Linked DNA regions of Alligator mississippiensis. The protein of the gene in region 4 purifies or fractionates together with the protein of the main gene of each other region. This does not show direct contact. Links are inferred from orthologs where the notes say so. Each region holds a gene or a part of one and is shown on either strand. Other genes may lie near its edges.

Region 1 (7,818 bases), on a different chromosome or scaffold from region 4:
CACCCCCACGCCCCTCCCACAGAATGGAGGCTTACCTGTGGGCCAAGGGCTGCCAGGCCAAGGTGGGGCAGGGAGGCAGCGGTGGCAGCAGGGGCCACATCAGCTTGGGCATAGGCCACCCACTGGCGCACTAGAGTGGCCTGGGCCAGGCCACAGCCACGCAGGGTTGGGGGGGCCAGCAGGAAGGTGACAGCGGTGGCTCCGGTCACACGCAGCCCCCCTGGATCCTCCAATGCTGGCAGCCGGGGCAGGGCAAAGGGACCAGGAGGTGTCAGATCGGGCACAGGCACCACACGGGGTGGACAGGGGGCAAAGCGCGATACCACCAGCGCCTGCCGGCTGGCCACATCTTCGGCACAGGGGGACACAAACAGCGTGGCCATGTCCAGGCCTGGGACAGGGGAGAAAGAAAGGGGGTGAGAACCCAAGCATCCAGGCTGCCAGCACCCCCTGCTGTAACCCACTGGAGCTCCTGGGGCCCACCCAGGGGTCCAGGCTCCCAACTCCAATCCAGCAGCTCCCCATTCCCAGCGGCAGAGAACACAGACAGTCAGGCTGTCAGCTCCCCACCCTGCTCTGATCCCCCTCCCTGATCCCCAACGCCACCCCTGCTCCTAGGAACCTGTGTCCCAGCTGATGCGATCCCATGGACACCCTCCACCAAAAGGGACCCAGGTGTCCAGTCATGCCCCCTATAACAGTGGGTCCTACTGTAATCTGGGGAGGAGGGAGGGAATTATAGTGGGTTGTACCATAAATCTAGGGAGTAGGGAGGTCCTACCATAATTCTGGAAGGGGAGGGTGGAATTACAGGGGGTCCTACTGTAACTAGAGGGGAGGAGGATTATAGTGAGTCGTATCATCATTTGGGGGAAGGCGAGGAGGGAATTACAAAGTGGTCCTATCATAATCCTGGGGGAGGGTTAGAGTGGGTCATACCATAATTGGGGGGTACCATAATTCTGGGGGGAGGGGGAAATTATAGTGGGTCATACCACAATTCTGGGGGGGAAGGGAGGAATGACAAGGGATCCTATCATAATCTTGGTGGAGTAGGGAGATTATATTATATATTTGCATCTTTTTTGTACTGTTTTTGATGCAAGCAGCCTTGCTCTGTTCACATCCATCCAGAAAGCTGATGTAAACATTATTTTCCTAGCCTGTAACTTTGACATGCTGCTCCTCTTGGTGCATCTCTCTGTTAGTTCTTCCTTCTCTATTGCAGTCTAACAAAAGCTGCAAGGTACTGCACCTGGGGAGGAAGAACCAGCAGCATACCTACAGGCTGGGGAACTCTCTTCTTGAAAGCACAGAGGCAGAAAAGGATCTTGGTGTCATTATAGACTCCAAGGTGAACATGGGCCGACAATGTGAGGATGTGGTCAGGAAGGCTAACCGCACCTTGTCATGCATCCACAGATGCATCTCAAGCAGGGCCAAGGTGATCCTCCCCCTCTATGCAACACTGGTCAGGCCGCAGCTGGAGTACTGCGTCCAGTTCTGGGCACTGCACTTCAGGAGGGATGTGGCTAGGATCAAGAGGGTCCAAAGGAGGGCCACCACCATGGTCAGGGGGCAGCAGGGCAGGCCCTACAAGCAGAGGCTACGGGACCTGAACCTGTTCAGCCTCAAGAGAATGCTGAGAGGGGATCTGGTGGCCACCTACAAACTTGCAAACGGAGACCAGCAGGCAATGGAAGAGTCCCTGTTCTCCCGAGCACTACCGGCAGTAACAAGGAACAATGGCCATAAGTTAATGGAGAGTAGATTCAGATTAGATATCAGGAGGCACCACTTCACTGTCAGGGCAGATAGGATCTGGAACGCTCCTACCCTGGGGGTCTTCAAAAGGAGGCTAGACAGCCACCTAGCCAGGGTCGTTTGACCCCAGTGCTCTTTCCTGCCATGGCAGGGGGTCGGACTTGATGATCTGCTCAGGTCCCTTCCGACCCTACCAACTATGAAACTATATGGGATCCTGCCATAATTCTGAGGGGCTATAGTGGGTTGTACCACAATTCTAGGGGAAAGGAAGAAGAATATGAGGGCCCTACCGTAATTCTGGGGATGGTATTATTAGTGGGTTGTATTATCATTGGGGGGAAGGCCAGGGGCCCCGCCATAATTCAGGGGTGAGAGAGGGATTATATGGGGTTCTATCATAATTCTTGGGTGGGGGTGGGGATTACAGTAAGTCCTATGCTAATTCTGAGGGGTTTACAGTGGGTCATACCATAATTTTGCAGGGAGGGGAATTATATGTGGTTTCACCATAACTGTGCAGGGGGGTGCTATAGTGAGTCCTCCCAACACTGTATGGAAGGGAGAGGAATGGCAGAGACTCCTACCATAATTCGGGGGGGAGGGGAGATAAGTGAGTCCTACCTTGACTGGTGGGGAAGGGTGAAGGATGACAGTAGGCCCTACTATATCTTGGGGGGGGGGGGGAGGGTTAGTGGATCATACCATAATTCTAGGAATGAGGGGGGATTAACAGTGAGTTGTACCATACTTCTGGGAATAGGTGGGGAATGACAAGGGGTGCTACCACAATTCGGGGGGGGGGATACTGGGTCCTACCACAGTTCAAGAGAGGGAGTGACAGGAGGACCTACCATAATTTGGAGGATGGAATTATAGTGGGTTCTGGGTAGTTGGGGGGGGGGGTCCAGGGGCTCTACCATAATTCCCGGGGGAGACGGAGAAATGACAGCAGGTCCCACCATAATCCGGGAGGGGGATAATAGTGAGTCGTACCATAATTCTGGGAGGGGCGGGGGGGCATTAAAGAGGGTCCTACCACAATTCTGGGGGAGAAGATTGCAGGGGGTCCTTCCAACGCTCTGGGGGGTGGGGGATTACAGGGGGTCCTGCCACCACTCCCCCCGCCCCCTTCTTACCTCCCAGAGCCCCACGTGTGCCGCCCGGCCTCGCTCTACACTCCAAGGACCCACTTGGGGCTGACCACAGCACTGCCTGAGCCGCGCCACGCAGCCCCGCCCCCTCCGCCTTCACTAGGCAGCTGGAGGGGCGTGGTCGGGTTTAGCCGTGCCCCTCTTTAGCATGAATGCGGGCGTGGCTTTGTTTATCTAGTTGGACAGGCACTAGCTAGGATACTCGCAAAACGGGGCCTTGTAGAAAGGAAGCTGCGTGGAGGCATAAAGGTGCTGGGGTGGATAGAGCGGCCACAGCGCAGGCCGTGCACTTGGGCAGGTTCATAGAGTGTCATAGCGCCCCCTGGGCGCCTGGGTTCACGGGCGCTCCTCTGCGGGCCGGGGGCTGCGTAGAGCCGGGGGCAGAGCCCGGCTGTCCTGGCCCCAGCCCCTGTTGTCACCCCCAGGCCCCACTCCCCACGTGACACTGGGCTGGTCTCTGCGGGAATGGGGCATTAGAGAAGGGGGGCTGGGAGGGACACCTGGCTCCTTTGGGAGGGTCCCAGAGAGCCCAGGTGTCCCTCCCTTCTGTAGTCCCCACACCCACCCCGCTCCCTCCCCGGTGCGAGAGCCAGCGGCCCGTCTACAAGGGAGCTGACTGCCCCGCAGCATCGCGCGGTGCAAACTCCCTGGCTCCCGGCCTGGTGCAGCTGCCGTGGGGTGGCCAGCAAAAGCCTGTGCCAGGCAGAAGCCGCTCGTCTCTAGCAGCCCCTGGCTCGGGGCCGCGGCGGGTCGGGTCAGGTGGGCCGAGTGGGTGCTCGGTGCTCAGCGAGCAGAGCCGCGCTGCGGCATGCACGCCGGCTTTCGGAGGGGCAGCGAGGGCCCCCGGCCTTCCAGGCCACAGCCGGGCCCCGCGGGCTAGACGGGAGTGCCTGGCCGGCGGGATTCTGCCCGCCCCTAAAATGCAGAGAGAACAGGAGGGGTGTGCGGTGCCCACACCCCTCCCGAAATAAACGGAGAACCCAGGCGTCCCGGTTCCCGCTTTAACCCCAGGCCACCCCTGGACTGAACAGAGAACCCGGGCAGCTGGGCCGCAACCCGGGATAGGAAAGAAGAGGGGAGACTGGATGCTACAAAACACTTTTATTGAGATGTGGGAGCATAAAACCAGAGCAGAGGGGACCACCACCAGCCCTGGTGGGATGGAGACACCCCTCACCCCAGCTTGGGGAATGGACCAGGCCAGATGGGCTGGTCCATTCCCACCCCCAGGCAGCCCAGTGTGGCACAGGGGATTCTTGATGAGGCTAAACAGGCCCTAGGGCTGGCTGCTGTGGGGCAGGGGGGTGGGGGGAGAAACCCCCAAGTTCCCCCTCGCCAGTCTCTTCCGGGTGGATCAGTCCGGCTGAACTCCTCCCCCTAGGAGGTAGGCCTAATGGAGCAGTCTAAACACCATTTCCCCCCCCTTCAAGCAAGATAGATCAACCTACGCTTCCCCCTACAAACCAAGGCAAATGAGCTACTCCACTCCCCCCTGCAGTCCAAGCCGGTTGGACTAGTCCTTTCTACCCCCCTACAAAGCTAAATGGAGTAGTCCATTCTACCCCCTGCCTGCCAAGCTAGATGGACTAGTCTATTCCAAACCCCCATGCAATCCTAACTATTTGAATTAGTCCATTCTAACCCCTACAAAGCTAAATGGATTAGTCCACTTTACGCCCTTGTAGTCTAAACTAGATTAGAACCCTTCTACCCCAGAAGCCAAATGGACTAGTCCACCGTAGGCCCTGCAGGCCAAGCTAGAACTAGTCCAGTCCACCCCCTACAATCCAAGCCAGGTGGACCAGTCCACTCTACCCTCCCCCCAACCATCTAAAGTAGACTAGACCATTCTACATAAACTAGTCCATTCCACTCCCCCTGCAAGTCAGATAGACTAGTCCATTGTAACCACCACCCCTTTTTCAGCTTCATAGCTTAGAGCCTAGAGCCCCCCCCCATTCCAGTCCCTCCTAGCTGCGAGGCCCTGGGGGAGCTCCAGGAACCCAGATGTCCAGGACCATGGCCAGTACCCCCCTCCCCGCCCCATAGACCCAGACAAGCCTTGATACAAATCAAAGGTTGAAGACACCCAAATTTAATACCCCACTGCCAAGTCTATGCACAGACAAGGCCCCAAAGATGCCCCCATGTGATTATTTGCCCCCCAGGTGCTGGAACCCCCTCCCCCTCCAGGACCCTCGACTCTATCCCATAGGGGGCAGGGAGACTAGATACCCTGCCTTAAAAGAACCAAAAGGAGGGGTAGAAAACTCAGTGCAACAAAAGATCAGGCTAAAATAGGGGCCTTCAGGAGTGTGGTGAAAAAAAGGGATGGGGTCCCGTAAGAGGAACCCCCCCAGTAGTTGCAGGGGGGAAGAACCCAGGCACCCAGGGACCTAGATATGGCTCCAGTTCTGCTCAGGACCGGAGCAGGAACCCAGGTGTCCGGGGAGGTAGATGTTGGCTCCAGCGCTGCTCAAGACTAGGACAGGGATCCAGGTGTGCGGAAGGGCACGAACCCAGGTGTCTGGGGATCTAGATGTAGGCTCCAGCGCTGCTCAAGACAGTGCAGGAGCCAGGCACCTCTGAGCTATTAGCCCAGGTGTGGGGGGGGGGGGGGGGGGGGGGGGGGGCAGGACAGGAACACAGGGGTGTGGGGAGGTCTGGACGTGGGCTCCAGCTCTGCTCAGGTCTGAGGCAGGAACCCAGGCATCCGGGGGGGGCAGGTCACTGCTTCTGCTGGAGCGCCTCCTTGCGCGCGGCATCCTGCAGCAGCTGTGTGTCCACCTCGTCGGCTGGCAGCTGCACGTACCGGACCACTGAGCCCCGGATGAAGCAGTTCTTCACTGACAGCTGGGGGGAGGGGGGGAGCAGGAGGGTCAGTGTCCACAGCTGGGGGACTCTCCACCTCCCCCAGGGTGCTCCAGCCACAAGCTAGGACCCCCCACAGCCAGTGAGACAGCCCCTCACAATATCATCAAGCCCCACCCAAGCCAGTCCCCACCCCAGGACCTGGCCTCCCCCCACACTCCCAGCCACCAGCACCCTCCCAGAGCCTGGCCTCCCCATATACCCCCAGACCCCTGCAACCTCCAAGCCCCTCCATAGCCTGCCCCCCACACACACCTCCAAGCCCCTTAAACCCCAGTCTCCAGTCCCCTCAATTCACCCCCCTGCCCCAAGCCTGGCCTCCCCACACCCCCCAAACCCAGCCCTCCCACACACACCCAAGCCTAACCCCTGTGTCCCCCCACTGGCCATTACCATGTGTGGGTACTTCTCAGGGTCTGTCACACTGATGTCTGTCAGCTTGATGTTCAGGTACTGGGAGGGGGTGGGAAGAACAGACAGACAGAGAGACAGGCCCTGAACCTAGTGCTGTGAGGTAGAGGCCTGGAGCCTCCTAGCTGGCTGCAGAGCAGCTTGGGGGGGAGGGGTGGCCCTTTAAAGGGACTGAATCATTGAGGGGCATGGGGGGGAGAAGAGGTCCTACCTGGTCTACGGAGTGGAGTGTCCCACAAATGCTGCAATAGAGGAGGGGGTTAGTTCGTGGGGCAGGGGGAGCCCCGATGCTCGGGTTCTCTCCGTGCTGTGGGGGGAGAGTGGAGTCTGGTTGGGGAGCAGAGGGAGTTGGGAGCCCAGATACCTGGGTTCTCTCCCAGCACTTGGCTGGAGATGGGGGCAGATGCATTAGAGCAGGGGGCTGGAAGCCCGGACACCTGGGTTCTTTTGCTGCTCCGGGAGCCGAGTGAGGTGTGGAGGGGGTAGTACTTGGGAGCCCAAACACCTGGGCACCTGGGTTCTCTCCCAGCTCTGGGTTCTCCCTCTGCTCTAGGTGGGGAAAGCCTGGAGGGGAGGGGGGAGTTGGGAGCCCAGAAACCAAGGCACCCCCCAGGCCTAAAGTAGGCACCCGCTCACCTGAGGTCGTTTTTCAGCTCCACCACCACATCTTTGCCCACCAGGGACTTGAAGAAGGAGTAGAAAAGCTGTGGAGGGGAAAAAATGGCAGGGCTCAGCCTGGGGCAGGCACACAGCCCCCCCACCACCCCGAGCACAAGGCTGAAGCTGGTCCTTTACTTCCAGGTCCTGGTCCCTTTCCCAGACCCAGTCTTTACGCAGCTGAAGGTTGTTAGCAGCAAAGTACAGCAGCCAAAGAATCCAGGTGGCACCAAAACGATCTATTTGCTTATGACAACCTAAAATAGCATCATGCCTCAAGGACACAGCACCAAAAAGACCTGATCTGCAGCTGGGTTTCTGGGGTCAAATCCTCTCCAGGTTGCCCCAAACCACATGTCTTTACCGCCACGGCATGCTCTGAACAAGTCTGAGCAGGGCCCTGTCCCGCACCAAGCTCAGTTCTTGCGCCAGCGCTGCCCGCCCCCAGCCTGGGCACTGTGGGTGCCTGCACACAATGTTGGCTTTTTCTAGCTAAAGATAATCTCCGGGTTTATTTCATTTTCACAATGTACTACAATGATTTCCGTTACTATTTTGCACGTAACATGTATAACACTCAAAATTCGTTAATGTACTATAACTAGTAAAAAACGCTAGACACATCATAACAGTTTTAACCATCCCGATCTTCTACTACTAAATCACAGCAGGGGGCAGGTTAGGAATGAAATTTGTGATTGGTTTAGTTTTTTTTTCTGGGGGGGGAGGGGGGGTGGCCTTTGGGTTAGACTGCTCCTACTGCCCCAATTTTCTGCCACTCAACGATGCATTTTCAGGTGCTCTACCCAAAAAACGTACTAGCCTTGTCAATTTTGGGGACATGGAGTGAGACTGGTTAGCTTTTGGTTGCAGTTCCATAAACACCACCCCCTGCACAGCAGCCAGCAGGCAGCCGTCAGGAAGTGGAGGGCTTGGACCCCGTGGTCCATGTGTGGCGTTC
Region 2 (6,899 bases), about 180 Mb from region 4:
TCCATGATTCCCAGGTCAACTAGGGTTTTGACACAGCCTGCTGGGAGGCTGTAGCTGTAGCTTATCCTGCCCTCCTTCCCCCATGCAGGTAACCCTTGGGGATGAGGGTGGAGATACTCGCCCATTGAGCTCAGGAATGACTTTTCCCACAGCCTTGGCAGCACCAGTGGATGCTGGAATGATGTTTTGGGCAGCGCCTCTGCCATCCCGCCACATCTTCCCAGAGGGGCCATCCACAGTCTTCTGTGTGGCTGTGATGGCATGGACTGTGGTCTAGAAGGTGGGACAGAGTTAGAATACAGTATATGCACCTGGAGTTTCACCTCACTACCTGAGCTACCTGCTGGCCCCTACCTTCCCCAGTGTCCAGATGGTATAGGAAGGATCACCCTTCCTACTCTACTAGATCAACAACCCCCACCCACAAAGCCAGGCCTGTTAGTTTCAGTTGTTTGGGGCTGGGAAGGATCTTACAGATCATTGGGTCCAGCCCCCCTGTACTTGGGCAGGAAAGACCTGGAATCAGATGACCCCAGCAAGATGAGCATCAAGACACTTTTTGAAGTTCACCAGGATGGGCAACTGTACTACCTCTTGTGGGGGGAGAAAAAAAAAAAAAGTGACCACCCCCCATCACTGCCCCCTTACTCTTATGGCCAACCCCTTGGTTGAAAGTTCTGTAACAGATCTCTCCCCTTTCTACCCTCCAGGCCTGATGTTTCCAGGTCACTTACCATGAGACCTTCCACAATGCCAAAGTTGTCATTAATGACCTTGGCTAGGGGGGCCAGGCAGTTGGTGGTGCAGGAGGCATTGCTATGGGAAAGGAGAGCAAGACATCAGCCTGGGGCAGGTGGGGCCAACCCCCAGTGGAGAGCACAGGCAGGGAGCAAAACTCCCTACCTCACTGGGGTCCACTTTGCACCTCAGACTTGTCCTGCACAGGTGCCCATTCCTCACCTGACAATTTTCAGAGACTTGTCATACTTCTCATGGTTGACACCAATCACAAACATGGGTGCATCAGCTGAGGGGGCAGAAATGATCACACGCTTTGCACCACCCTTCAGGTGAGCCTAGGAGAGAGGGAGAATACTCTTATCTACCCAGGTATGAGGGGATACCACACACATGCAAGTCATACACTTCCTCACACCTTGAAGTCATTCAAACACATTCTCTTGCTTAAGACAGAGCTATCGCCCTGCTTAAACCCTTCCTCTCACATATCCACCCTAGGTACAGCCACCACTTACACTGGCCTTCTCTGTGGTGGTGAAGACTCCAGTGGACTCTACAACATATTCTGCTCCAGCTTCTCCCCACTTGATGTTGCTGGGGTCACGCCTGAGAGGAAAGAGATCGTTTAATATCCAAAAGCTATTAAATTCTGCTCCTCCACATCACCCTGTGCCCCAAGCTGCAAAAGGAAAGGGAAGGGGAAGGGACACTCACTCCTGGAAGATTGTGATTGCATGCCCATTAACCACAAGTTTTCCATTCTCAGCCTTGACAGTGCCATGAAAGCGACCGTGTGTGGAGTCATACTTGAACATGTAAACCTGGTGGGTGGGATAGGGGAAAGAGCAATGTCAGAAACGTGGGCTGTATCCCTCCAATAATCCCCTGCCACTCCGGGCTCCAACACCCCTTGCTCTGCCAACCCTTTTGGCTGAGGGTAGCTTGCTGCTTCTTCCTGAAAAGACCTTGCTTGGGTCTGGCTCCCTTGATATGGCTCTGAGGCCAGCCAGCAGCCCTTCACTGTAATCTCTGCCACACCTCATGTGCCCATGGTGCTTGGCTTTTGGAGGGACTGGAGAGTCACTGCTTTCCCTCCCTTCTCGCCATGCAGGGAGGCAGCTTGGCCAAAGGCCAGTAAACCTGGTGGGCTGGGGAGGGAGAGCAAGGTGGAGGGATCCCACTCACCATGTAGTTGAGGTCAATGAAGGGGTCGTTGATGGCCACGACCTCAACTTTGCCACTGCTGAAGGCGGCTCTGGTGACCAGGCGGCCGATACGGCCAAATCTGGAAGGGGGGGAAATAAAAACTGAGGCCCAGGCACATCGAGGGGTGGGAAGGGGACACTGTGAAGGAGTGCTGCAGTCTGGGGAGGGAGAGATTTGTGGTGCCACTCCTGAAGCAGCTGCCCTTTCCTCTGCACAAGGAGAGGCCGCAGGGCAGCAGGGGGGGGGTTGCCCAGCTGCAGCAGACCAAAGGGCAAGAGAAGTTGGAGATTAACCGGCCCGGTCCACTGCAGAAAGGTCAGGTACTAAATTTACTGGGCCTGGGACAGCAGCTCCAGTTACAGCACCATAAGGTCGCATTTCCCGGGGCCTCAGGGCTCAGGCAGACACGCGATCCTGGGGGGGGGGGCCAGGAAGCCGCAGGAGATCCCAGGGCAGAGCCCTAGTGCTGCCCCGAGGCGGTGGCGCTTCCCGCTCGTGTGACTCAGCCCGGCGTGGCCCAGAGGGGGGTGGGGGGGAAGTGACTCAGCGGCCGCCCCACCGGGCCGCGGCTGCCGCGCACAAGGGGCCGCGTGCGCGGACCGACAGGCGGGAGGGCGGGGGGCGCCGCGGCCGCAGCTGCCGCACGGGACGACCTTGACACGTCCTTGGGGGGGGGGGAAGCACAGCCCGGGCGGCCGGCCCAGCCCCGCCCCGCGCTCACCCGTTTACGCCGACTTTCACCATCTTGTCTCTGGAAGATGCTCCTAGGGGAGGAAGCGGCGGTGAGACCAGCGCGGACACTTTCCGGAGGCCGCAGCCCAGAACTCGCCGCCTCTCTGAGCCCGCCCGCACCCCACCCCGTCCCGTCCCGTCCCGTCCGGCACAGCCCGATGCCCCCGCCCTGCCCCGCCCGGGACACAGGCAGGCAGCGCCCCTTGGCCAGTCCCGGACACCCACGTGCCGCGCCTGGCCCTGGCCCTGGCCCTGGCCCCGCGCACCTGGCCTGACCCAGCTCGGCTTCGACGTGCAGTGAGGAGGTGGGAGCGAGCCGCGCCACCCCAATATATAGCGACTCGCGGGCCCGCCCTTGCGGCCCGCGCCCAATCAGCGTCGGGGGGCGGCCCCGGGCTACGTGCGCCTCAGCTCGCCTGGCCTGGCGTTGCCTCCAGATCCGGGCGGGCACTGGACGGGGGAGTGGGGCGCACTGGGGTTGGGGTTGCTCGCCTAGGCGGGTAGGTGTGTGCCTATCCCACGCGCCCTCGGGCAGGGGCCGTGCCGGGGGCGGGGGACGCAGCCCCGGCGCCCCCTCGGGCCCCGTGCGCCCCCCCCCCCCCTGCGGGACGTGACGGCGGAAATCCTCCCGCCGGCCCAGGGCCGCGATAGCGCCCAGTGGCCTGGCCGAAGTGCCCCGTCCCCGCGCCGCTCGGCCTTCCCACGGCTTAGCCCCGGCGCTGCCATGCGGGCTCCAGCTCCCCAGGCCCTGGGGGGCAACGCTGGCGCAGGAAGGGCACCTGGAGCCCAGAGCACCAGGAAGGGATGGAGTCAGAGAAGCGGGGCTGGAAGGGACCTCCAGGAATCATGGAGTCCAGCACTGCCTGAGCCAGGGTCACCCCTATCCAAACCATCCATGGGCTAAACCCAGCATAAGACTGCTGTGAACCCTGAGGCACTAAGGAGCGAGTGTGCTATGTGTTTTGTGAAAGAAGACTTGAAGACATGCAAGCATAATCTAAGGGATACTTAGATGATACTTAGATACTTAAGGGATATTTAGATTATACTTAACACTATTAAATACTCTTGTGATATGATCCTGGCAATGTTGCCAAGTTATCCTATATAGCCATACCTGCCTTAGATGAAGCAATCTTTCAGGAGAAGATGTAGTGAGGGGCAGCAGGCTTCCCCCCCCCCCCCCTGCCTGGCCCTGTTTAGGAACCTCTGGAGCAGGCTGGCAGCAGGCATGAGAGACAGCAGGGCAGGCGTGGCGTGGGGGGGATGGGGAGTAGATACCAAGGGGGTCTGCAGACAGGTCACCTCACTCAGGCGTAACCCAACTCCCCTTGCAAAGCTACTATTCCCAGGGCTGCCAAAGAAGTAGACAGCTAAGTTTAGCTCCAATGGAGGTTGTGACCTTTACTTAAAGGCCATGGGGATGGATGGCTTATGCTGCAACCCTGTGGAGGGGTCAGTGGGGAGGGGGTGACAATCCTGGCACCTCTTCCTCCCTCAGGAAAGGGGCCAGCCCCAAGGCCCAGCCTGCTAGGGGGAGCAGAACAGTGACAAAAGGTGGCTCCAGGCTACTAGCACATTTGCAAGGCCTACTGTTTACTGAGCAAACATGAATGCTGCTGAGGACTCTGTGCAGGGGGCACAGGGCAGGTGAGAACAGCCAACATGACAACTGCAAACCTCTCTGGCCCTAGTGTTGTCCCACTCAACCTTTCAACCACTTTTCCGTAGCCAAAGCTCCAGTTGGGGCAAGCCAAGATGAGCTCGCAGGGACATACTCCACAGTCAACATTCCTGCTTCTCTGGCTTGGAGTACATGTAGGTTGAGATATGCTACTCCCTTGTCTCATGCCTTGACAACATGAAAGCAGCTTCCTCTGGGGTGGCAGGAGTGAGGGGCTAAACATGGAGCACAGGGAAGTAGAAGATGTGTTCCCCAGCACCTCGTAATAGCACACATAGGGTCAGTGATCTGTTAGCCAGCTCCCCACAGACCTCTTTCACTCGTCTGTGACTGTGAAAGTTTGGGGAGGAAGGATGACAGAGTCGGGCAGAGTCAGCCGTGGGATTTGGCAACTGTGAATCAAGGGAATGATGTTGGAGTGGCTGTTACATAAGGGTGTTAGACCAGGCCAGGGACAGCCACTGGGCCTAGCACAATGGTGTAGTGTCTGTGGGAAGCAGAGAGTGAGACAGGGAGTGACAGAAACTGAATGGTACAGAACTGGGAAGTCTTTCCCCAGTACAGAATAGATCTGGATTTAGCTGCTCTCCTGGCATTGGTGCAGGAGTGAGGAAAGGTCGTGCTTGATATGTGAGAAACAGAGAGAAGCCACTCCACCGGACTCCACAGGTGAACTGCGCAGAGAGAACAGCAGGCCTGCCTAGCTGGGATGCTGCTGCCATCTGCTGGCTGTGAAATGCTGACCCTTCCCCTCTGTAGGACTCATGGAGCAAGAGTATCAAAATGGATGTAGTAAAAGGCTACATGAGGGCCAGGCACTGGGCTGCTGGCATTTTACTTATGTAACACCCACACACACTTGGGGTTGTGTGTGGTAAAGTGTGGTTTTGGTAGTTGTGTGTGTTTTTTGGAGACTGGAAGAGGCCCACTTCCCTCCCCCGTCATTGTGTCCTGACCATTGTCTTAAGATTCCTTAAAAGAACTAGTAAAACCAGTTCAGTGACTCCTGAGCGCATCCAGGAGCACTGACCACCTTTGAATACATTGGTCTGCATTACCAGTGTTTAAATGATGCTGTTTCTTGATTGGGACCCTGTAATGATGTCAGAAAAGTTATTTAAGGTTCAGGCTACCTAGGCTGGGGGCTCTTTTCTCCTGGGGCTGCTGAGAGCTGTACTGTTGAATTGGGAGTCGGAAAACCTGCTCCTGTTGGGCCGGGGGGGGGCGCTGTCATGTCTCTCCCCTCTTCAGTGGAGAAGCAAGTAAAAGCTGTGTGACTGAGAAGCCTCAGGTACAGGAAGAGAAAGTCTGTCTCAGGGCTTGAGACCCCTGTTTTCTCCCTCTCCTTTCCCCTTTTGTTTTCTGGGTTTTGAGTGAGATGATACCATTGGGGGAGTGGGGGTATCAATTCCATGCAGCAGACTAGCCAGAGTTGGAGCCTGGCAGTTTTGCTGATGAGCTCCTGGCCAGGCCTAAGAGCCTGACATGTAGAAGTTGTGGTTACACTCCTTTTGGTTTCAACCTAGATGTGTGGTTGAACCCCAGCTGTATGTCTTGATGGCAGTTTTGGCCACACGGGCCTTGAGTGGGATGGCATCATTAGTGTATTAATCCCTAGAGCAGACTGACCAGGAATGGGGTTTTGGCAGTTACTGACCTCCTGTGTTGGGGATTGTAGTGTCTCAGCATGGTAGACTGGATGTCCAAGCTGGAGCTATAAGCCTGAGCCCTTTTTGCTGTTCCACAGCAATTGCATTTCAGCCCAGTTGAGGTGGCTGAACCCCAGCCATATGACTGGCTGGCAGATTTGGGCTAGGGTGAGACTATGGCACTTCTTGTTGTTTATCCAGGCTTTAGTGTGGTATAGGCCTGGCCAGCTTTTTGCCCAGTCCAGGTCCAGTGAAATAGGCCTGGGCCTCCTTTTGTCCCTCTTGCAGTTTATGCCCAAACCAAGCAGTATGGTTGGGCACTAGTTGTAGTTCAGGTCCTTTCCAAAGTAGGCCTGACCCCTTTTTGTTGTTTCATAGCTGTTAGGTCTCAGCATAGCAGTGTAGCTGAGACTAAATGTCCAGGCCGCAGCCAAATAGGCCTGGTGCTCTTTTGTTGTATGTTCAGGACAGGAGGTGCAGGACAGGCCTGGGTCCCCCCTTTTATTGTTTTATAGCTGTTGTGCCTCAGCCTAGCTGTGTCGCTGAGCCCTGCTGTGTGTTTGCTGCATGTTCAGGCCTGGCATGGTTTGGGGCTGACCCATGTTGTTGCTTTTGCAGTTCTTTGTCCTGACCAAGCAGCGTGGTTGGCGCTAGTTGCAGTTCAGGCTCATTTGCTGTTTGGCTGGCTTTTCTTTGAGTTCTCTTGCAGTTTCCTGTCTCAGTAGAGCTAGGATTAGGACTAGAAACTTTGGGGTGTGATATGCTGACAAAAGCTGCAATTAACCCTGCAAAGCCACCACGTGGAAGTGGAGATCAACACTACAGCTTCTGAGGGAGCAACAAGGGACCCCTTGCAGTGCAGGCCCCTGAAGCAGCTCATAGGACTC
Region 3 (7,952 bases), on a different chromosome or scaffold from region 4:
AGTATTGGAAATTAGATCGCTATCGGCAGATATGCCTCCTTAAAAATTGGCTATCAGAATCAACGCAAAAATCTCTATCGGTGCACCCCTATCATATATGTGACTGTGTGAAATGTCTATCCTGGATTCATTACTATAGTAAATATTTCTTTGCAATTAACTTGGGTTTATGTGCCGGAAGAAACATTCTCCATATGGAGTTTGATAGGCATCTCCTCTTGATTAACTCTTGTTTCGTCTCAGTAGTTCCCTTGATCTTCCAAGGACAACTCTTCAAAAATGTTGAATTTTTCCCAGTTGTTAATCAATTTCCTGATATGTTGCAACTCAGTACAGATTGATAAACCTCCCGTTACTGGGGAAGGTCATTCAATTAAAATTGGGACTTTCTGATAATAATGAACAGTTAGGAAAACAGGATCTTCCTGTTTGTTATGGCTTGGGTTTCTCTCTTTATTTACACAACTACAAGAAAGCTTTGAAGATGCTGAGCTGCAAGTTATAAGAAAGGAATGAAGCAGCTAACAGGGGGCACTTCAAGAGTGAGAAATCATTCAACACAAGAAATGCTACTGAGCCCAGCTGACCTGATCTCACTGGCAACAGATCCATGCCTTGAGCTAACAAGACTAAGACCGCCTCTTTGCCTGTGTTGGTGAGATACTATCACTTTTACAACTATATATACTGGATTTTGTTTTGCTTTAAGATCATTTAATAGTGAATAGTTGTAGTAAATAAAACCTCTCTGTCATTTATTGAACAAGTTATATCAATCCTTTATACACTAGTCCTTAATCCCATTTTATAATTTAACAGCAACCTCCTCTTCTAGATAATGGTTTTTAAGTGTGTCAAGCCCATACATTCCAGTGCCTCTGTACTTTACTTTGTCTTCCCACTTTATTTTCAGGATCTTACACAAGTATCTCAGGTGGAAGCTGTTCAGTCTCTTGATGTGCCTAGCATATGCAGTCCACATTTCTGAACCATGAAACAGGGGTGACAGCACACAAGTCTCGTCAATTTGAATCTTTACTTTAAATGATAGTTTGCTATTATTCCATGTGTGTTTTTGTAAGAGGCCAAAATTCTTAGCTGCTTTTTCAATTCTGTCAGTTCAGTCTGAAGGTCAGGATTCCTGCTGATAATAGATCAAGTAGCATAATGCGAGTGACAACTTTCCTGATGATGTTCAACTGGGTTGCTTCTGTCCTCCTTGTTTTTGTATAATTGTACAAACTGAGCATCTCTGAAATCTTGTGATACTGCTTCCTCTTTCCAACAGAGCAGCATAAGTTCATGGAGCTTTTGAAGTAATTTGTCACTGGCACAGTTTTAGATTTCAGCAGGCAAACTGTCATTGCTGGATCTCTAGTTCCCAGGAGTCGATTTAAAGGCTTTCTATAAATCTTCTAATGTAGGTTCACTGTCCAAACCCATCAAACTGTGGTAACCCCCATTGCTGCATCTATTTAATTCATCATCACGGTCAGAGCACACGCACAGAATGGTTTTGTTATGTTGTTTAGTGTCTATGCGCCTACTCTTCAAGCTAGTGATGAAGACAGGAACGTGTTCTACCAACAACTTGGAAATTGAGAAAAAACTCATAGAAACAAGACCATTATAATATTTGGTGATTTTAGTGCAAGAGTTGAATGCAGTTTTGAGAACTGACCTGGTATTCTGGGCTAACATGGAAGGAAACATGAATGAAAGTGGCCAGCAAGCATTAGGACCCAGTACAAGTCAAGATCTACATGTCACCAACACCTACTACATATTACCAACACCTGCTCATGATGTCTACCCACAAGACAGACATCATGGAAACATCCAAGATCAGGATCACTGCCCACTGGCACCAACTAGATCTAGTACTAACCAGGCACAACCACCTAAGAAATCTGCATGCAAGGTCTTAACACATCACTGACTATAGCAGCAGACTAAGGTATGGTCAATGTTAAGTCAGAATCAATGCTAAAAAGATCCACTGTAGCAAGTCATCCTCAGATTGATAATCAGCCAAACTAAAGATGCAAACTATTCAATGAAGAAGTTGTGAAAACAAGTTTACCTAACAACTCATCCACCAAGGCTTGTGGAAACTTAAAAACTAACATGTACAATGCTGCTATAACAGCATTTGGGGGGGGGGGGGGGGGGAGGAAGGGAGGAAATGCTAGGTAAAATGCAGACTAGTTTTAAGAGCACTCTGAAACGCTTCTATCACTGGTTGGAAACAAAAGGACAGCACTAACCATCTGCAAGTCATCTCCCAAACCATAACCCTGGAAACTTTGAGAAAGGCTCCAGGAGAAATGCAAAAAGAGGCTAAACTGTGTGCCCCAGATTTTTGGCTGAAGCACTGATCATATTCAGAAAGCAGTTGACGCAGGCGATAGCCACAAAACGTACGAAAGCATCAAGCAAGCAATTGGTCCAGTCAAGAAGAAAACAGATCCACTGTAAGACTTGGACGGAAATGTCATCACTGATAAACAAAAACAAATGGAGTGTTGGATTGAACACTATGAAATTCTGTCCTCCAGGAAGACTGAAATCAAAGCATGAAGAGCTTAAAGGATTATCAGAAACAAAAATAATTCATAGTTAAACAACTGGAATGATCTGAAACAGCCTCAGCTAGAAGATCATTCTCTAAAACTCAGTGATGCATATGAAGCCCCTCTACACATAATATAACAGTCGAAACATTCAGTGCTTTCTTTAAACACAGTGCATCAATGTACGTAAATGTATAAAATAAAGGCCAACTCACCACATCCTCTGCTGGACTGAGTGACACCAGCTAGGGCCCTGCGGACAGCAGGTAGTCGCAGCATGGTGCTGGGAAATACAAGAGAGCAATTAGTGCCACAAATTTCTGCAGTTAGAAAACACTAACATTTCTGTAGATCCCCACTGTACATCCAACAGCTCTCTACTAAGCTTTGACTACATTTCTAGGGTAAAGGCAAAAGAGCAGCTCCCCACTGCAACTCATAGTGCTTTGCAAGGAAGCACTTTGAGTTGCAAGGATCCTCCGGACCCAAGAGAAATTTACTGTTGTGTCCTGGACCCAGGAGTTGGGACTCCAGTTGTGTGCTGCAGACCTGCAGCCCAGCTTCTGTAGCAATGCCACTCCCCCCTCCCCGCCTGGAGGCTGTTTTCAGAAGGGGGGGGGGAAGAGGGAGGAAGAAAGAGAAGGGAGCAGAGGGAACTCAGGTTTCCCAGCTCCAATCCACCCACCCCATCCCAAAATGCCTGCTGAAAAAAACCCAGACCAGACTCCCTCTGCTCCCTCTCCCCCCTCCCATTCTGAAAACAGGGACAGGCTGGAAGCTTTACAGACACAAGTTATACAACATACTCTGATTTGGAGCATGTTCATTTGAACCCTCATGCAACAGGGTTCATCTGACCCTCACCCCTCATGCAGTGAGGGTTCAGACTGTCGTGGGTCCTTTTAAAGTGATCTGCAGCTGTGCACTTCCATTTGGTTATGGCTGTAGAGCGCTTTCTGGGGCCAAATCAGGCAAAAACTGTCACTTCTGTCTGTGCCCCAAAGAGCACAGAGACCACCTGAAGACTGAGGGGAGGGTACAGACCTTCTTTTCTAGATCTGAAGCTGGCCCAACTTCTGCCCTAACAATACAGCCAGTTAAATGAGACAGCGGTTCTCAGCCTTTTTTGCACCAGGACCCATTTGTTAACCTCAGTGGCCAGTCCTGATGCCCCTCACTCCTGGCCTGCTGCCCCCCGCCCCCAGTGTTTATGCCAAGCAGCCCCTCACAGGCTGCAGCTCTGCCAGCCGGCAGGGGAAAAGCCAGTTTCCCACGTCCTTCTCCTTTAAAGGAAAATCCATTTTTAAAATTGACCGATCCATTTTTAAAGCTTGTTCACAACCATTTTATATATTCTTGCGCCCCTGCTTTGGGTCGCGACCCACGCGTTGAGAAACGGTGCGAGAGGAGGTCACAGAAGGGCCCCCTCACCGCTACAACATCCAAACCCTCCTACAGCAGCACTGCCCTGTCACGCCGCCCCCCCCCCAAAACAAACCACTGGGGGGCTGACTTCTCATTGTGTTCGTTTTCCATTACTACACTTATTGAGTAAAAATATCTATATCTATATATAGATACAGATATAGATATACACACTGTTCACAGTAAATTCAGACTTAAGGAAAAGCTGTTGCCATCACTGGCCGCCGCAAGGACGCTCCCCTCCGGCTGTCAAGGGCACGGAGCGGCCGGGGCGCAGGAGGAGGGCCCGGCCCGGCTCGGCCCCCCACCGCGGCCGCGGCCCCGCCCGGTACCTCGTGCCGCTGAGGGGCGACGGAGTAGCGGCCGCGCGGCGCGGCGCAGCACTTACGACCACTGCGGCAACTCCAGCTCGCAGGGCCTGGATGGCGGCGGCTCGGCTGTTTCCGTCCCTCCCCGGACACCGCCTCGGCAATTTCCGCCCCCCCAGCGCCGGCCTCGGCAGTTTCCGTTACTTCCCGGGACGCGCAGCCTCAGCCATTCCCGTCCCCTTCCGGCGGCGGCTCGGCAGTTTCCGTCCCTCCCCAGAAGAGGCGGGTTCGGCAGTGTCCGACACCCCCCCCCCCGGGAACACGCGGCTTCGGAAGCTTCCGCCCCCTCCCACCCTCCGCCAGCCCTCGGCAATTTCCGGAACCCGCGCTCGGCATTTTCCGTCACTTCCTTGCAACCTGTTTTTGAAAATCCCTGTCCCCTCAGTGGAGCCGGCCGAGCACGCTCCAGAGTTGAAACCTTTCCTTCTGCTCCTGTTTTCTTATGTTCGTGTCCGGTAATGCCCTCTCCCTGCTCTGAGCGGAGCGGAAGACGAAGGCACTATTTCTCCGCGGAAGGACACTATAGTGACGAAACTAAATGGAAAAGGAACCTTCCGCCGGCGCCTATATAAGGGGGGCGTGAGGAGACGGCGCCCTCTTTGCGCAGTGGGTGCTGTCGGAGTTTGGCCTGCTGTTGCCATCATGGGTTTCGGGGACCTCAAGACCGCTGCAGGCCTCCATATGCTCAATGACTTCCTGGCGGATAGGAGCTACATTGAGGGGTGAGCGCTGCTGAGGGGGGGAGTGTAACCGGCCCGCGGGGTCGGGCCTCCGCGCCTGCGCCGTGCGGGGCCGCTCTGACCGCGCGTCCCCTTAGGTTCGGGCCGTCCCAGGCCGACGTCGCCGTGTTCGAGGCCGTGTCTGCGCCGCCGCCCGCCGACCTGTGCCACGCGCTGCGCTGGTACAACCACATCCAGTCCTACGAGAAGCAAAAGGCCAGGTAGGATCTGCCTCCACTCACTGCTTCTCTGGGAGCAGCCCCCCCCCCCCGCGCAAAAGGCGTGGGTTGTTTTATTTTGGGGGGGGGGGTTGCCTTAAATGTTGAGCCTGTGTGTTGTCTTTGAAAGGTGCCAGCTTCGCTGCTGCTGTGGAGCAGGTAGGGTGCGGGCACTGGGGTGGCCTGGCCAAGATGGCTTGCTTCTGCCCTGGACAGCGTCACCAAGTCTTAAATAGGAAATTATCTTATTGGAAGCTCAACGTTGTTGTGCTTACTGAAAAACTATATTGTATGCTGAAAAAGTAGGCAAATCAATACGCAAATACATCTTATTTGCTGTAAATTGCCAGTGAGTGAATGAGAACTGGGTCACCAAAGTTGAAAGACTTCTTTATTTTGAGGCAAGCAGTCAAAAGAAGGTACTGACAGCAAGCTCAAAAGTCCTCAAGAGTGATTTGGGCTTTGCATATGCTGCATTAGTTAGCAGCCTCAAAAATTATTGCACATTTTGAACACTTCTGCTAGTATTATTGATCTCACATTGTACAAGGGTATGAAATTATCATAGATATGATAATTATACACCTGGCAACGCTGGCCCTGGGATTCTGCACTTCTAGGTCTACCCTTATTGCACATGCGGCGTTCAGGGGCTCGGCTGAAACCCCAGCACTGGAAGACGGGCTTTGTGGCCGCTCATGCCTTGAGCAGCATGACCTTCTATATACACTGCAAATAATGGTTTAAAGGTTATACCAAGGTGGGCTGGATTTTAACCAGGTTAATCCAATGCAACTGAGTCCTTTTGTGTTTCCATTTGAAAATCATGCACGTACAATAGCTGCTCGCTAGTGGCTTTTATAGCTTGGTCTCAAAGCCACCTGAGCCAGGAGCACAATAATTACAATGGCTCTTAGGAAAACCTCATATTGGACTATTCTCCCTGAAGGGTTAAATCAGACAAGTGACCAGTAAGGACACTGTTCTTGAGGGAAATGAAAGCAAATGTGTTCTCTTCTTTTTTTAGTGAATTTAGTGGTCATGAAAAGTGCCGTATTGACAGCCATGGAGACTGAAGTCCTCCCTAGAAAAGGTACAGCATAGGCAGTGTTAGTACGTGCCATTTCCACATTGCCTCACCAAGACCTGTTGTAGAGATGGATGGCTTGGTCTCTTATCCATTCTGTCCTAGGCTTTTCTTGATGTTACAGCCTGTAATACTATTTAATAATTTGTTAGTATGTGGGTTGGGGTGAAATTGTAAAATCCAGTTCACAAGATCTGTAAAGAACGTAATGTACTGTAATTTCTTCTAGCCGCTCAGAAGGAGAGTGCTTTGTCATTGGCTTTTCTAATGCCTAACAGTCTGATTAAAAAAAATAAATAAATCCCTAAAGCAAACCCCACAATACTGTAAATGAAAGCATAAGACAAAACTATGCTCTTATGGTGTTAGTGGCTACATCTAGAAAGACTAAAGCAGGAATTAAATCATAGTTCAAAAGGTACTAGAATGAACAGGCAATGTAAAGTTGCATTCTAGGTTTTCTAGCAGTAGATGGAGCTATTTGAACTGTGTTTGGGTTTCAGGAATATTTAGTTCCTGTTAGGTTCTCCTTGGTTCCTCAGGCATTTTAGTTTATCCTTATTTACATTATAGGCTTATGGTTGTGTGGGGTAGTATTGGGAAACTACCTCATAGTTAGAACCAACCTGTCAGTAAAACCCAAGGATTTGACATTGTGATAAAACTTTTGATATTACCATTCCCACTGAGGCTTAATTTTCAATAATGAAGCATTTCCTTGAAAATATTTCAGTGGGGAGTGGCAGTGCTTAATGTGCTTCAATTTAATGTAAAACATTTTAATTCTTAAATTTGATTTGATGGTGGTTACATTTTTTTCTGTAATATATCCCATCACTTCTGCACTTGGAACAGCACAGTAAAATTTGCAGAACTCCTCTTGGTACAGGGTTGTGTTCTGAAGCTTTTGGTTGCTGCTCTTATGTGGTGTACTCTAGGAAATCCAATTACCAGGAGCAAGAGTTGCTGTATGCATGAGAGGTTTAGCTTTCTATGCACATTAAATTCACCATATTCGTCTAAGCAGCATGCTTTACTGTGGGTACACTTGTGGATTGGAATCTGGTGCTTCACTTCTGAAATAGTGACATAATTAAGGTTTGAGTTTCATTGTTAGGACAAGAAATATTTACTGGAGGTTTACAACAGAATCAAAACCTCAGTAAAACTGAAATATATACATTTTTTAAATCAGTTATCTTTAACAGACTCTGCTCTCTTACTTAGTTTGCCAGGAGTGAAGAAGGCTTTGGGGAAATACGGTCCTGTTGATGTTGAGGATACCACAGCTGGTGCAGCTGCAGATACCAAAGATGATGATGACATCGATCTCTTTGGATCTGATGACGAGGAGGTGTACTAGCATTTATTTTATTTATTTGCTATGAGTTTTTGTTTTCCCAGCTACCAAAATTCAGTTATAGATGCATTTCTTTTTTTAGTTTATCTTTGCTCTGTTGGTCTGTTTAACATCTTATAAAGGTCATAATTTGTTTGAATCGGAGAGGCTCTCTAAAAATAGTCTTCTGGTGGAACTGACTGCTTGCTGAATGGGTGTGGGG
Region 4 (6,907 bases):
TACTTCACACCGGTTTGTTACAGTCTCTCACTAAAAGGGAAATTACTACCACTTTTTTTTAAACTTATGGAATGGAATGTCACCAACAAATTAGATACAGGAGAAGGTACAACCTATTCCCCTCCCCCACACACAAAAACACCTTACCGCCAATTTTGTACACATCTTGAAGAGGCAGACGCAGGGGCTTGTCAGTTGGACGAGTTGGTGGCAGAATGCAATCCAAAGCTTCAAGCAGGGTAGTGCCACTGGCATTGCCATCCTTACGGGTGACCTTCCATCCCTTAAACCAGGGCATCTGTGGCAAAATAAGATGCAACCATTAAAATTTGTCCCGTTTCCTAAAAAATCCATTTCTAATATCCTAAAACACATCCAAGTAACTTAATTATCAGTTTAAAAACTAAGCCTAATATGACTGAGGTGCATAGATTCATCTAAAGGGTGAAGAATGTATCACAATAGTCCCCTTCAAAGAAAGGAGGGAACACCCCCCCCCCCATAAGCAAACAACTTACATTAGCACTGGGCTCCAACATGTTGTCTCCGTTCCAGCCAGAAATTGGCACAAAAGCCACTGTGTCTGGGTTGTAGCCAATTTTCTTAATGTAAGTACTGACTTCTTTGACAATTTCCTCATATCTCTTTTGGCTGTAAGGTGGCTCAGTGGAATCCATCTTGTTAACACCAACAATGAGCTGTTTGACACCCAGTGTGTATGCCAGAAGCGCATGCTCACGGGTCTGCCCGTTCTTGGAGATACCAGCTTCGAACTCACCAACACCAGCAGCAACAATCAGGACAGCACAATCAGCCTTTGAAAAAGAGAAGTATTAAGTTTCTATTTACATGCATATAAAGAACAAAAAACTAAGTGCACTAGAATTCTCTCATTTTACGTACTTGGGAAGTGCCAGTGATCATGTTCTTGATGAAATCTCTGTGTCCAGGAGCATCTATGATGGTGACATAGTACTTGCTGGTTTCAAATTTCCACAGGGAAATATCAATTGTGATACCACGCTCACGCTCAGCCTTCAGTTTGTCCAAAACCCAGGCATACTTGAAGGAACCTTTGCCCATCTAGGAGATTAAACAAGCAAACAAACAAGAGTCATTGATATACTTGCATTATACTTTGTAAGTGGCAGTTTTAAAAAGGAACCCAATTTGTAGGATAGCCAAGGGACAGGAAAAAAAAAGTCTACAGTGGCAGATGGCTTCTACTGCACTAGGGATTTCTGCTGCCAGCACAGCTTTGGCCTAGACACACTTGGCACAACTAGTGAGAGATTCCATCTGTCTTCTGTTATTTAACCTGATGTCACTTTAGCCCTGGACAACTCATTAACTACAACTAACATCTTTAAAGTTAGCTTGGCTCCACAAGGTCCATCAGATCAAGTGTCCTCTGGAAGCTTGTTTTCATACCGTTGTAATCCTTCCCACAGCTAGCCTGTATGCGTTTATCCTCTGGAATTTACACAGATAGCATAATGCCATCACCTACTGAGTCATTCTTATTGAGGCATAGTCCAAATAGAAAAAAAGAAAAAAGATATTGCATGATAAATTTGGAACAAATGCAATATCCTCCAATATTACTCAGTTTTAAAGACAAAGCCCCATATAAGTCACTTTTAAAAAAGGTAAATTTGGAGTACAGCAGTTACTCATCAACTATTTGATACAGCCTGCCTGAACAATTCCCAGCTACACAAGTTGGGCCAAGTCATGCTCCTCCTGGTTCCCCATTTATAGCAGGGGGAGCACAGGAGGGGAGGCAGGGTGGCTTTCCCAACACTGCCCTGCTGCAACCTTATTGTTTGTATTAGTAGCTTGAAAGCACAAAGCAATGCACTGGACAACCTCTGGGGGTCCCTCCCAGCTCGACTTCTCTAGGAGCCTATGGCTCCAGGAGTAGACACGGCCTTTTTCAACACTGCAGCAAGCAACTGCATTTTGGGGGCAGAGAATATCAAGGTGTTCATCAAGGCTAAAAACAGAGGTTGGAATTCTCCTGGAACAAGATTCCCGGCTCATATAGACAAGCAGTTGCCACCTCACCAGCACTTTTTCTAAGTTGGGCAAGACAATGCTTTCTGCTAAGCACATGAAAGAGACCCCCCAACTCCAGGAAATACCCACTCATACCACCCTTCCCCTCTCCCCCGCAGATGCACCTCGGCAGCCTCCTTCTCAAACTTCTCGATGGTGCGCTTGTCGATGCCGCCACACTTGTAGATGAGGTGCCCGGTGGTGGTAGACTTGCCCGAGTCCACGTGGCCGATGACAACGATGTTGATATGGGTCTTCTCCTTGCCCATGGCGGCGGCTGGCGAGTGAGGCTTTCCCTTCTCCCAGAAAAATCAGCACCTGCGGGCCAGAAGAGGCTGGAGTCACCCCGGAGCCCGGGCGGCGGCGACCACGAGGGCAGCGGCTGACGCAAGGCCGCGGCTCCACCCACCCACCCTTGCGGCGGCGGCCCGGCCAGGCCACAGCGCCCCCACGCCGGCCGGAGGGGGCCGCGGCCCGGCGCCAGGGCGGCGCGGGAAGGCGGGGCCGCCCCGTTCCTTTGTGCGGTTCGTCCCGCCCGGCCGGGCCGCGCGCGCGCCCTCCATTTTGTGGCGCTGCCTGCAGGCAGGAAGAGCCGCCATCTTCCCCGGCCCGCGCCCCCCGCCCCGCTCCCGCTCCGCGAAAAATTGAGACCCCGCTAAGAGGCGGGGGGGAAGGGCGGCGGCCACGTGCTACGCCCCCACCCCGGCACGAGGAACCCGACGCCATTTTGTGGCGCCCCCCGCGCCCCTCCCCGGCACCGCGGCCCCTGGCCCCACCAGAGCCCCCCCCTCGCGGGGCCCCACCCGCCCCTGCCACTGTGCCCGCCCCGGGCCTGGCCCGCGCCACCGCGGCTTACCTACAAGACGGCGGCAAACCCGTGGCGAAAAAGACCGACAGCGTGTGCGCCCGGCCTTATATAGGCTGGCGGGGCGGGGCCCACGGATACGTCACGGCTCCCAGCGTTCCGTTCGCTCCCCCTCCCCACCCCCTCCGGGCCGGCAGGGAGCGCCGCCCAACTGCGATGGGGCGGGGCTGCTTCCCTCAAGTCAGCAGCGGTATATCCCGGAGCCGTACGTCGGCGCTCCCTGCCCGGACTTTGACGACGGCCCCTGCCCGAGCGCCCCTCCCCCAGCCGGGAGAGCACCTGCGCGGGTGGGGCCCCGCCACGCGGCCCATCCCCCATTCCCCCTCCCCTCCGCTGCGTCCCCAAGGGGGCGCCCGGGGCCGCGCTTCGGAGCCCGGGGAGCGGCACTTACTCCGCGCTGAGGCGGCCCGTCTCCTCCCACCTGCCCTCGCCGGTGGCTGGGTCGGAGGTGACTGAGGCACCCTCGTTTCTCCGCCGCCGCCGCCTCGGGAGAGGAAGCGAGATCCCCGTGGGGGCCGACTCCCCGAGCAGACTTCCTCTTTTGGCTCAGACTTGGGTCCCCGCGTGCTTCACTTGCAGCCAAACCGGTTCCTTCGCTCAGAGATACATCAGTTGGTGCCTGCTTTTGGGGGCGGGCAGCAGATAGTAGGAAGGCCGGGCTGGAAGGGGCCTCACGGGACCATTTAGGCCAGAGCAAACCTGGCCTAAATTCCAGGCTGGTGCCTGTCCAGCCGACTGGTGAACATCTCCAGGGACGGAGACATGCTTCATGGCTCTTCTGGGGGGCGGACGGTGCGCACCCGCCCCAGCACGCCAGGCTGCAACCCCTTCTCACCCCAGAAAGTCCTGCGGAGGCTGGAGCTGCACCTTTCCGTGTGCACAGTCGCCACCTGCAGCCTCACCATGTCCCAGGACCTATTGGTCAACCTCCTCCTGGCCCTGGCCAAGACAGCAACATGTCTAACAGCAAAGGAGGCATGAGGCCAGGCTCTGGCCTGGGAAACTCACGTGAGTGTGGGGTGGTCTTCACTCACATCCTGTGGCACGGTTTCACTGGCCCGTGTCCACAGGCACCCCATTTCATGCAGCAGGCACTGGCAAGTCTGCTATGCTTGGTGTTCCCTTCTGATCCCTTGTTTTGAACTTGTGATTTCACATCCTTTTCTGTTTCCTTTTTTTTGTCTTTTCTCCAAACCAGTCGTGTTGAGTTGTCAGTGGCCTTTCTTTTAAAGGGGGGGGCTTATAGTTTTTGGTGGGCCTAGGCTTCTGTTCCCCAAGTGCAACAAACAGGTCTGGGCCACACTGGCAAAGAGCAGGTGCTGACTGAGTGACCGGGGCACAGCCAGCGTTTTCCCCTGTTCCTCTCGTGTGCAGCCTCCTTCGTTTAAGGTCCAGGAAGTTCAAGGAGTAGCATATTTTTGTAGACAATGAGGGCCCTGCCACAGTCAAAGCTGGACAGAAACCAGCTATAGCGTTGTTACGCATTTTCAAGCACTAAGCTTGTAGCTGGCTGCCTCTTCTTTTAGCCAGACAGTCATTTTTAATGGCTTATCTTTACTTTGCATGTGTGGCTGGTCTAGATTTATTGCACAATTAACCAGTTCTGTGATAATCACTTTGTACTTGTGACAGGTTTTACTTTGCACATGTGGCCAATGTAAAATTATTGTGCGATGCACTAGTCAGTTGCTTAATATACGTAACGTGTATCAGGAGCCTAAGAAAGAGAAACAGGAAAGCAGCCCGCTCTAACATGGCTCATGCCTCCTTAGCATTTTCTCGTTTGGCTCTGATTCACTTCTGGCAATGTAGAAATAAACCAAATGTAGACTCCACCCGCAGTAGTACAACAGTCTGAAAATTAACGTCACCTGCTGGAAAATGTGCACTGAAGAACATACCTGTATAACTCCAACCTTGTATAACCACCCATGAAAGGGCATGGACTACGTGGTTACATCAACAGAAACTTTCAGTGCACTTTCTAGATACTAGGCAATATGACTGTACGGTATGGACTTCTAAAAGACTGAGACTGTCTGGTATAGACTTGAATAAAGCCTCAAGTTATGAAAATGTAGGTGTGTGAAACTGGGTAATCTACATTCATGTGTGTTCATCGATAGTTATGTGAACTGATTTTGTGACCAGTGACTTGTACGGCCAGTGCATATAACTCAGTGTGTCAGCATCTAAAATCTCCAAACTTAACTGGTTTGATTTAGCAATCTCCTCCTTCATGCTGTGGTTGCTGTTGCTCATGTACTTTCTATAAAAGAATTGTCTTAACAAACCTATGGGTAGCGGGTGGACCAAGTAGGCCCTGGACACAATCTTTTCTTCCTTTAAAAAGTTTCCCCACAGTTACGACCCAGGTCAGTCCCACTAGTCCTTGAATATAGTACACAGAATCTTTACACACTGTACAGTGATGCTTCGTGACAGAAAGCCTACCAGTAACCTTACAGGGAAGTGTGTCAGGAACTAGTTACAAAATATTAATAAAAACATTGGAAATTACACCCAAAGCATTTGTTTAGTATCTCAGTTTGTAGGTGGCATCTGTTTCTATATAAAAGTTTGTTTGGGAAAGGCACCCACAGCAGAGAATGTATTGGTATTGCTTTAGTATAATTTGGTGTGTAGAATGGGAGAGAGGAGAGATTAAAAGGATCACCTGTTTTTCAAACAAATAAATAGTTCTATAAATGGTATTAAAAGCTCAACTTAAGGTTTTACTTCTAAGGAATCTCTTTCATTCATTCCTTATGTATCATAAAAAACACAAGAGACAGTGTCTCTTGATCACTTGAAGAGGCATATGGGATATCAGCACAAAAGCAAAGGGTGTAACAGGAATACCCTGATCGTCCAGCCTTTCCAGCCTATTTTGATTCCACTTCTCCATTGCAGACTTCTCCCATGTCTCCTATTGCCCTGCCAGTTGCTCTGAGTGGGTTGACCTGCGCTTTTGAAGGGAGGATATCTCCACTCCTCTCTAATCAGAGAACTGTCATTTGGTTTTTGGTTTCTGTGGGAGGGTGGAGAGGTGCATAAAAGCAGGCTTATTCCAACCCCCTCCCCAGGAGCCACTATGGCCACTCTTAGGAGTTACCAAGTTCCTTATCTAAAAGTTATGGAAAGGGGAAAAACCTGATTTCCTGTCCCAAACAAGACTAAGCGGGCCCCTGTTTTGACGGGGAGAAAAAAGGTTGAATTCTTTAAGAGGAGGAGCAAGGAAGAGGCCTTGAGGGACAGAGACAGTTGCACCCATTCAGCTAGACAGATACCAAAATAAGCAGCAACTCTTGTTGACAGGATACTACTACAATTTCCTTGCCATCCACCAAAAGTAGAGGATGGGGCAGTTTTTCTCATCCAATATGGGTTTATTGTGCAGCACCTCCAGATGTACTTACTTGTTTTACTGAGAAGGCAAAACTTGCATAAACTGGGATCCTGCCACATTCTCATCCAACACAGGGAGCTAAGCTAAATAAATCCCTGGTGAATACTCTCAAACCAATCACACCCCTTAATATGGACACAAGGCTCCTCACTTGTTGAAGCCGAAAAAGGGATTCAATCCATGAATTCAATACACCAAGCAGCTTATCTTCAGTTGCAAGACATGCAAGATTTTAAGAAATACATTCATTATTTTAGAAGCCTTTAAAAAAAAAAAAAAAGCAATCTTCTAGAGATGCAGAAAAACTGTCAATTTTAGCATAATGGATTTTTCTTCTAACAATACTAGTAAATCAACTTTCGATTTTTCCCGCATTCTATGCACACACCTTTAAAATCAAGTCAAGACAAGACAGGCAAAGAGTCCAAGGTATTTGTTAAAATGGTCTTCTGTCCCTCCTCCTTTCTATAACTGCCATTTAATCTTTAGCAGTAGAACTGAAAGCTCCAACTTGAATTAAGAGGAGCGTTTAATTAGTTGGAACAGAATACTGAAGTGGAGGAAATCAAACTTAC

The links.
Region 1: the proteins of EEF1A1 (region 4) and VARS1 purify together in Homo sapiens (affinity purification with mass spectrometry; 3 studies listed by BioGRID and IntAct, counting the BioPlex papers as one, with this or other methods). This does not show direct contact. The link is inferred for Alligator mississippiensis from reciprocal best matches to the Homo sapiens genes EEF1A1 and VARS1.
Region 2: the proteins of EEF1A1 (region 4) and GAPDH fractionate together in Homo sapiens (co-fractionation; 3 studies listed by BioGRID). This does not show direct contact. The link is inferred for Alligator mississippiensis from reciprocal best matches to the Homo sapiens genes EEF1A1 and GAPDH.
Region 3: the proteins of EEF1A1 (region 4) and EEF1B2 purify together in Homo sapiens (affinity purification with mass spectrometry; 3 studies listed by BioGRID and IntAct, counting the BioPlex papers as one, with this or other methods). This does not show direct contact. The link is inferred for Alligator mississippiensis from reciprocal best matches to the Homo sapiens genes EEF1A1 and EEF1B2.

The regions. Positions count from the first base shown.
Region 1 is NC_081834.1:57,717,884-57,725,701, reverse strand, and holds the start of VARS1 (valine--tRNA ligase), read right to left. Parts: upstream 3,003-7,818; 5' UTR 2,904-3,002; intron 2,856-2,903; exon of another isoform or gene 2,804-2,855; intron 392-2,803; 5' UTR 384-391; coding exon 36-383; intron 1-35. Other genes in the region: U6 snRNA-associated Sm-like protein LSm2, read right to left, coding at 5,646-5,771, 6,183-6,242, 6,412-6,442, 6,837-6,904. UniProt on the Homo sapiens protein: Catalyzes the attachment of valine to tRNA(Val).
Region 2 is NC_081824.1:243,386,684-243,393,582, reverse strand, and holds the start of GAPDH (glyceraldehyde-3-phosphate dehydrogenase), read right to left. Parts: upstream 3,012-6,899; 5' UTR 2,946-3,011; intron 2,712-2,945; 5' UTR 2,692-2,711; coding exon 2,669-2,691; intron 2,027-2,668; coding exon 1,927-2,026; intron 1,563-1,926; coding exon 1,456-1,562; intron 1,348-1,455; coding exon 1,257-1,347; intron 1,077-1,256; coding exon 961-1,076; intron 817-960; coding exon 735-816; intron 274-734; coding exon 118-273; intron 1-117. UniProt on the Homo sapiens protein: Has both glyceraldehyde-3-phosphate dehydrogenase and nitrosylase activities, thereby playing a role in glycolysis and nuclear functions, respectively.
Region 3 is NC_081827.1:174,211,500-174,219,451, forward strand, and holds the start of EEF1B2 (elongation factor 1-beta), read left to right. Parts: upstream 1-4,950; 5' UTR 4,951-5,008; coding exon 5,009-5,088; intron 5,089-5,183; coding exon 5,184-5,306; intron 5,307-7,617; coding exon 7,618-7,744; intron 7,745-7,952. Other genes in the region: NDUFS1 (NADH-ubiquinone oxidoreductase 75 kDa subunit, mitochondrial), read right to left, coding at 2,789-2,852. UniProt on the Homo sapiens protein: Catalytic subunit of the guanine nucleotide exchange factor (GEF) (eEF1B subcomplex) of the eukaryotic elongation factor 1 complex (eEF1).
Region 4 is NC_081824.1:63,916,786-63,923,692, forward strand, and holds the start of EEF1A1 (elongation factor 1-alpha 1), read right to left. Parts: upstream 3,016-6,907; 5' UTR 2,915-3,015; intron 2,377-2,914; 5' UTR 2,328-2,376; coding exon 2,184-2,327; intron 1,084-2,183; coding exon 904-1,083; intron 816-903; coding exon 519-815; intron 299-518; coding exon 148-298; intron 1-147. UniProt on the Homo sapiens protein: Translation elongation factor that catalyzes the GTP-dependent binding of aminoacyl-tRNA (aa-tRNA) to the A-site of ribosomes during the elongation phase of protein synthesis.